Linked DNA regions of Oryzias latipes. Each later gene encodes a partner of the first gene's protein in a complex. Links are inferred from orthologs where the notes say so. Each region holds a gene or a part of one and is shown on either strand. Other genes may lie near its edges.

Evidence for each region. Proteins that work in one complex are often made in the same cells at the same time.
Region 2: the proteins of ap3b1 (region 1) and AP-3 complex subunit mu-1 are in contact, whole or in part, in a cryo-EM structure (PDB 9C5A), measured with the Homo sapiens proteins. The link is inferred for Oryzias latipes from reciprocal best matches to the Homo sapiens genes AP3B1 and AP3M1. Residues at the interface, in NP_003655.3 of Homo sapiens: Leu60, Lys64, Val67, Gly68, Ile70, Ala71, Lys72, Gly73, Ile92, Glu93, Lys96, Leu97, Val100, Arg104, Glu107, Asn128, Gln129, Leu130, Arg137, Arg143, Ser163, Pro164, Tyr165, Lys168, Asn169, His172, Gln175, Lys176, Leu202, Ser206; in NP_001307192.1 of Homo sapiens: Met1, Phe15, Leu16, Glu17, Trp20, Lys21, Ser22, Val23, Gln26, Val42, Glu43, Asn44, Val45, Pro46, Pro47, Val48, Ser50, Tyr55, Ser58, Ile59, Tyr60, Gln71, Thr72, Glu73, Val74, Pro75, Pro76, Leu77, Phe78, Ile80.

Annotation. Positions count from the first base shown.
Region 1 is NC_019870.2:3,643,733-3,647,232, reverse strand, and holds part of ap3b1 (AP-3 complex subunit beta-1), read left to right. Parts: intron 1-1,491; coding exon 1,492-1,589; intron 1,590-1,672; coding exon 1,673-1,727; intron 1,728-1,840; coding exon 1,841-1,912; intron 1,913-3,500. UniProt on the Homo sapiens protein: Subunit of non-clathrin- and clathrin-associated adaptor protein complex 3 (AP-3) that plays a role in protein sorting in the late-Golgi/trans-Golgi network (TGN) and/or endosomes.
Region 2 is NC_019873.2:23,929,022-23,932,957, reverse strand, and holds the start of AP-3 complex subunit mu-1, read left to right. Parts: upstream 1-1,136; 5' UTR 1,137-1,327; intron 1,328-1,539; 5' UTR 1,540-1,544; coding exon 1,545-1,817; intron 1,818-2,913; coding exon 2,914-3,085; intron 3,086-3,179; coding exon 3,180-3,317; intron 3,318-3,404; coding exon 3,405-3,490; intron 3,491-3,582; coding exon 3,583-3,716; intron 3,717-3,936. UniProt on the Homo sapiens protein: Part of the AP-3 complex, an adaptor-related complex which is not clathrin-associated. The complex is associated with the Golgi region as well as more peripheral structures.

The DNA.
Region 1 (3,500 bases):
TTGAACTTTAAATCTCATAAATTTACAAGAAAGTCATACATTTATGATATTTAAGTTGTAAATTTAAATCTCATTATATTACCTTTATTTTATTTTATTTTGTTTTTGTTTGTGGCCCCTAATACGATGTCATAGCCTTTTGTATTTTCAGCCTTTGTTTCTTTCCCTCTTTGCTTTTAGTTCTTAATTTCCAGTTTCAATTCAGACTTTTTGACTGACTTTGGGCGACAGAGGTTATGGTGATGTCATTTCCGCTCCAAAACCGCTTCTTTCTGCAAATTCTAAGTAGAAAGTTAGTAGAATGTTCTGTCCTTGTATTCTCTATTGCAAAATGAATTAAGTTATACAGTTGTTAGAAGTCTTTGTTTTCCCTTTCCTTTATTTTTTTTATACTTGAAGAATTACCCCAAAGAATTGTTATAGTGCTTAAAGAAAATAAGCAGAAAAGGACACTTTTCATGGCCTTTTCCAGTTCTGAGTGCAAACTGTCTAAACTTGCCTGATTCTATGTGTAAATGTTAATAGACCAGCTCAGTGGCCTTGTGGTAGAGTGTCCGCCCTGTGACTGGAAGGTCGGGTCATACCAAAGACTCTAAAAATGGGACCCAATGCCTCACTGCTTAATGCTTAGCATTAAGGGGTTGGATTGAGGGGTTTAATCCACCAAAAGGTTCCCGAGTGCGGCTGTGCCTGCAGCTCCCCGCTCCCCCAGGGGAGGGGTCAAATGCGGAGAACAAATTTCACACTCCTATGTGTGAAAGCAAATGGTACTTTAACTTTAACTTTAATAAATCGTGAGCTGAACTTAACTGCATTTTTGATTGATCAATTAATCATTACACTAAACAATTAAGAGATTTTATTATACAGCATTACCCAAATTTAGATTTTCCAATGTTGGAATATAGTAAAAATGATGTCAAAGCTTAAAAATGTTCTATGAAAAAGCTTGAATTTGTCCTGCATGGAGAATTTCAACATTCTCTCTATAATACTGCGATCAGAGTACGCTGTCTTGTATAAATACAACATGGACACAACCTGTCACAGTGGGGGGAAGAAGAAAAAAAGAAAAGAAAACTGTGAAAGTGCGGATCTCCATCACACTGGAGTCTCAAGGTCTCCGTCGCCGGGGAGCAGCGGGAGGAAAAATGCTCCCAAATGAAAGCGTTGATTAAAATGTGACACGCTGTGTCTTTCCTCGCGTCGGCACAGTGACATCTTCCATCTTCATAGATGGCTGAACCTTTTCATTCTGCCTGAAACGACGGACACACGCCATCCTGCTATTTAAAGCTCTGCTGAAAAATGACCCTGATGGTGGGATGTTGTTAGAGGGCCTTCATACAGGCCAGAGAGATGCTGGAGTTATATTTATTGTGGGTCATCAGAAGATGGATGGGACCATGGTTTTGTTTTATTTTTAATTAGGACTTTGATCCAAACTGAAGGATAAAATCTTGTAATAATGTGCTGTTTGCTTTGATTTAGGTCGTGATGTCTGTTGCTCAACTTTACTGGCACCTGGCGCCAAAACACGAAGTTAGTGTCGTCACCAAGTCTCTTGTTCGGCTGCTGAGGAGCCACAGGTTGCCTTCACACTTTTTTCCTTCTGCAGAAGGTTTGGCGTACAAATACTCCTAACGTGTTTTCATTCTGGTCTTCTGCACAGAGAGGTGCAGTACATCGTTTTGCAGAACATTGCCACCATGTCCATTCAGAGGAAGGTAAGGCTGCGTGTCAGACCTGCTGTGTTTTTTTTTTTTTTTTTGATGTGATGCGTGTATTTTTGGTGTGTTTTTTTGGATGTGATGTGTTTAAACGTCTCGTGTCCTTCCAGGGAATGTTTGAGCCGTACATGAAGAGCTTCTACGTGAGGTCCACTGACCCCACGCACATAAAGACCTTGAAGGTAGCTGCTCGTTTTGTCCACAGATGAGCAAATAAATGCTCAGAATAAATGTCAGAAAGGCACGATAAAAGGGTGATGAAGGTTTTTAAAGTAAGCGGCAGGAAGAACATTTATTTATTTTGCAAACCATTATCTGAGAACTGGACCGTCATCCACAGATATTGGTTTCCTCCAACCAAATGAAGACAATCCAGTACTATTTTGTTTTTTTGTGGTATGGACGCCCCCACGCTGGAGCATAGGCCTGGGCGAAAAATCGATTGAATGAATTTGAATTTTTTTGTTACGGGCGATTTAAAAAATAACTAAATTGAGTTTCTGTGTAATGGCACATTTATGGCTCCCCAGAACTTCCGTAGCGCTAGTTTCACACGGCGGTGTGGCAAGCGACAAACAAGAACATCATAGCACACACGAAACAGCAAGTGACAGCATGGCTACCGGTGAGAATGGGAAGTTGACCGCGAATCGCTTCATCACCACGGTGATCAAAAATCCCACACCGTCTCAGCTCAAGTTTATATCTTGTGGTACACAAAAAATGCGAGTTCTCCAGTACCGATAGCAGAACCGTTGAGGTCAGGTCTTGAAGAATGTTGCCCCGGGGCTCGTTCAATACCGGGTCTCGGTACCCATCCCTAGGACGGGATGGGTACCGATGGGTACCGAAAGGGGCACGGTGGAGAGCAATCACAGAAGCGGTCGCTTTGCATATAGCCAAAGACATGGGGAAGACGGGGTTTATTAATTTAATTAAAACCATAGACCCCAGGTTTGAGCTGAATTGTTAATCCTTTCGAAAATGGTGCTACTCTCAAGGTGAATGTTTGTCTCCTTTTAGTCTAGACTACAAAGTGGGACTTAAAACACAGCTAGGACTTTGGTTCCAAGAGTGTGTTTATTTATTTATTATTCATCCCAGAAATGGGGGTTACATTTGTCTTGCGTTTGATCAAATCAAAGCAAAATTTGCTTTAAGTTGTCTGTCGTTTGTACTTATTGCTTTCCTTAAGTGGGGGGGTCGGGGGAAAAATCAGAAATCGAATTTAAAAAATATAAAATCTGAGATTTATTTTTGGGCCATATCGCCCAGCCCTACTGGAGCCAGTAAACAGAGGTCAATCCAAGTCGGTCTGCGTCATTGTTTCTATGGCAACCTGTCATAGGAAGTCCACACCTACACGGAATCTGTCAAACTGTTTAAACGTTGGACGTATGGACCAGCAGGCTCCACCTACTCTTATTGAGGCATCTAATTGGCCAGTTTACAATTTGACTAACTACAAAATTCCTGAAAAGAAATTTGATCAAAAAGATGTTAAATACATTGGAGCAGGAATGGTTTTTGTTACATTTTTATTGTTTCCTAGCGCTGGTCCGCCGCCTATCTCATGCAAATCTTCCTCCAGGCTTTTTATTTTCGCAGCTCTTTTCCTACAAAGGTTTATCTTGGTTTCATCTTAATCCAGTAGGGCACAAAACGTAATTAGTATTTTTCTCCTTTGTGATCATGTTTACAACAGTTGGATATTCTGTGTTTTGAAAAGGACGCGACCTACGTGTCACTGTCCCCCGATTGGTCACTGTG
Region 2 (3,936 bases), on another chromosome or scaffold:
AACTTTGATACCTTTTTTTTTCTTCAAAAATGTAAAAACAACATAAATAAAAGTAGCTATTTAATCTATAAAGCTGAGACAGATGATAGGTTTTAACTGCTGTTCTGTAGGTACTGGGTGTATATAATGTCTGATTTGAGCAATTAATTCAAAGGAATTTTGAGGTTTAAAGCCAAATGTAGTTTAATGAATGTAATATTTTGTTAATAAAATCAGGAAATGTAACCAATAAAATTGTGAAGTAACTTTTCATAATCAGTAAAACCATACAGGATCTGTTTTTCCATGTCAGGAAGAAATCGAGAAAAAATTGAGTCATTATATCATACTGACAATTACTTCCAAACTAATTTTTTGTGATCATAGGTCGAAATTAAATATATGAATGTTTCTTCACATTGTTTACAAAATCTACCCCCCCCCCATATTAATCCTTTTGTCTTTGCAATTATCTTTCGAAAATGCAGTCGTATCAAGGAAGTTTGTTGTTTTCCCTGGGTAGTGACTTGTAGGTAAGTTGTTGCTGCCATAGACAGTATGGTTCCTGCCCAACTCAGTTTAACGAGGAGCTGTAGTAGTTATAGGTGCTACTTTTTCTAATCATATACATACAATAAAATGGTGAATAAAACTTCGGAAACTTCCAAATACTGTCATTAATTGTGTTATACCATGGGGAAATGCGTACGTTTCACAACAGTACACGTTAAAATGCCATCAAAATACAAAAAATCATATTGAGTTTTCCAAATAGTTTTTCTTTAAAAATTTGTAATATTCTAACAAAACCTTTCCACACAATAATGCTGACATACAACAATGGATTAGCTATTTTAAAGAACACCGAAAACTGAATGGTCTGATGCGCGGCTTAGATCGTTGTCAAAGGTTGCCTGCAAAACTATACACCGGTTTTTTTAACCCACTGACTGACAACAATGAGAGCAAAACAGCTGTCCTCTGATTTTGCCTGATTAAAAATAAACCCACTAACTTTAAATAAAAAAATGGAGGGGAAGAATATTACACTTTATTAGATTATCGTGAATGCCACTTCAATAGCGTAAATATACCCGTTTTTCAACTATTAGTCTAGTAGCACAATTCAGTTCTTTCTGCTTACGTGTGCACATAGCTGTAGGCGTCCCCTGAGATGCCTATGAGATATACTTCCATATTGGCACCAACTGAGTATTCTTCCCTGTAGTTGAATCGAGTTTTTTCTTTTTTTAAAGCAAGTGATCTACAGCTAAAACTTTGTAAAAGCTGTAAAAATATTTCGCACTTTACATGTTGGTCTTCCTCTGACAGGATTAACGATAAGTTGGTAAGTATGATTCATATTTTTCTTTCTGTTATCTCACTCAGCACAATAAACTTTTAACTTTTCAGATAATATTTCAAAAGTCTTTTCATTTTTTTTATTTTTTACAAACTGTTTAGTTTAAGTTATTTGAATCATGTGACCGACATTGTGTAGTTATCGTGTGCCATCTGGTCTAAGAGAACCAACTCAAACAACAACGTTTCCTTCTGCAGCTGAGATGATCGACAGTCTGTTCCTGATTAACCACTCAGGAGACATTTTCCTGGAGAAACACTGGAAGAGTGTTATCAGCCGGAGTGTTTGTGATTACTTTTTCGAAGCTAAGGAAAAAGCAGTAGACCCAGAAAATGTGGCCCCTGTCCTGCAGACCCCACACCACTATCTCATCAGTATATACAGGGACAAGATCTTCTTCCTGTCTGCCATCCAGACTGAAGTGCCTCCACTTTTTGTCATCGAGTTCCTGCACAGAGTTGGAGATACATTCTTGGTAGTATTGATTTCTTACCTGAATGTCTTCTTTGTGATAAGTGTGTGCCAGATCTTAAGTGCTTCTAGTCAAGCTCTAGGAATAAGTTTCCTTCTTGCTGCACTTTCATGTAAGTATATAATATATATTAAAGATATAACTAAAAAGTCCTTTATAAGACATTCTTTGAGGCATTAGTTTGGCCAAATATAAGAATTTCAGCAGCAACCTTAACCTTGACTGCAGTTAGTATTTTGTGCTGACTTAAACCAGGGATCGTCTTTGGAATTATCATTTAAACCAATAAAAAAGTATTTTTATTTCAGACTCGAAGTGTAAATGTCAACACCATTAAAAAGAAACACAAGACATACAAAATAATTAAAATACAAGTGAATACACCAATTATAAACCTAATAAAGTGGCCAAACCAGTACCTCCAAATTGGGGACTGGTAATGCAAAGTGCTGTGCCTGATGTTGGTTAGGGTTAAAATGATTTTATTCTTGGAAGCGTTAAAGACGTTGTATAAAACCATAAATAAGATTACTTAAAAGAGCTTGGAGAGTGTTGACTCATATATCATACGTCTTTTTAATAAAATCCCATTATATACCCCATGCAGGCTAAATGGCTATGGAAGGATTTGTTAATACACGATAAAGATATTTTACTTTGTGACTTATGTTTTATTTTGTCTAAACTAAACTGTGTTTATGACGGAAATTGTCATGGGGCACTGTAAGAAATGTTGCTGAATGGGTTTCATGTTAAAAAAAGGAAGAATTGTCAGATTTCAGTTAATAGTAAATGTACCATGTGTACATGCAGGTATGGTGACAAAGCAGAAAAGGAAAAACACAAAAAATATCTTTGAAAATATTAAATTGATAGTTTTGTGTGCTTTAATGCAAATTAAAGGGATTTTATTAAATCTGCGATCCAAAGTAATATCAAAAGGCTCTTCAAGTGCTTAGAAGTACAGCACTCTCAATTGTGCTACACTCTTTCTAATAGAACACAGAACTTACGTTATTGCCCATATTGGTCTGCTGACGCTGCTCAAAGGGACAGCCACTGTTGTCCTTTCAGTAACATTTTTTTTTTTTTTTTGCAGGATTACTTTGGAGAATGTTCAGAAACTGTAATCAAGGATAATGTAGTGATTGTTTACGAGCTATTGGAGGAGATGCTCGACAACGGATTTCCGCTCGCCACCGAGTCCAATGTCCTCAAGGAGATGATAAAGCCTCCCAACATTCTGCGGTCAGTCGTCAATACACTAACAGGTAAACAAACGTCACAAGGAACATTGTGAACTTCTGGCTCTTTAAGTCACACTGAAGGGCAGCGTTAACATTACATTTCATTTGTTTTTTCCAGGAGGTAGCAATGTTGGAAACACTTTGCCAACAGGTCAGCTGTCTAATGTTCCATGGAGAAGGGCTGGTGTCAAGTACACAAACAATGAGGCATATTTTGATGTGATCGAAGAAATTGATGCAATTCTCGATAAATCAGGTACTTGAAAAGAAGAGAAGAATAAAGCAGTTGGTGGGAAATGCAGTTAAATGCACAGTAATACCGGTGACTTTGTTTACTGAACAGGGACAACAGTATTTGCAGAGATCCAGGGGGTCATTGAAGCTTGTGTGAGGCTTACCGGGATGCCGGATCTCACTTTGTCCTTCATGGTGGGCTCATTTCCCCCCATATCTGTATTTAGATCATCTGTGCACTTTTGTTCAAGTCTAAATTTTGCTCATTATTGATGTATTATTGACAGAATCCTCGTCTCCTGGATGATGTGAGCTTTCATCCCTGCGTGAGGTTCAAACGCTGGGAGTCGGAACGGGTTTTGTCTTTCATCCCTCCAGATGGAAACTTCACTCTCATGTCATATCAAGTCAGCTCTCAGAAGTAAGTGATTCATGGGGAGAGCAATGGGGTGACTAGGGCTGGCTATGGATTATGAGGAGGACTGCATATATGAAGATGTCATCCTATCCTCAGGTTATAAAAATTCAGAGCTGGATAAAAGTTTTCAACCACAAAGAAAATTACTTTCAATATACAGTTTAGCCTCTTAAAGCATAGTTTAAATTGGAGGTTGTTGCAATTAAATTTTGGCATAACTCTG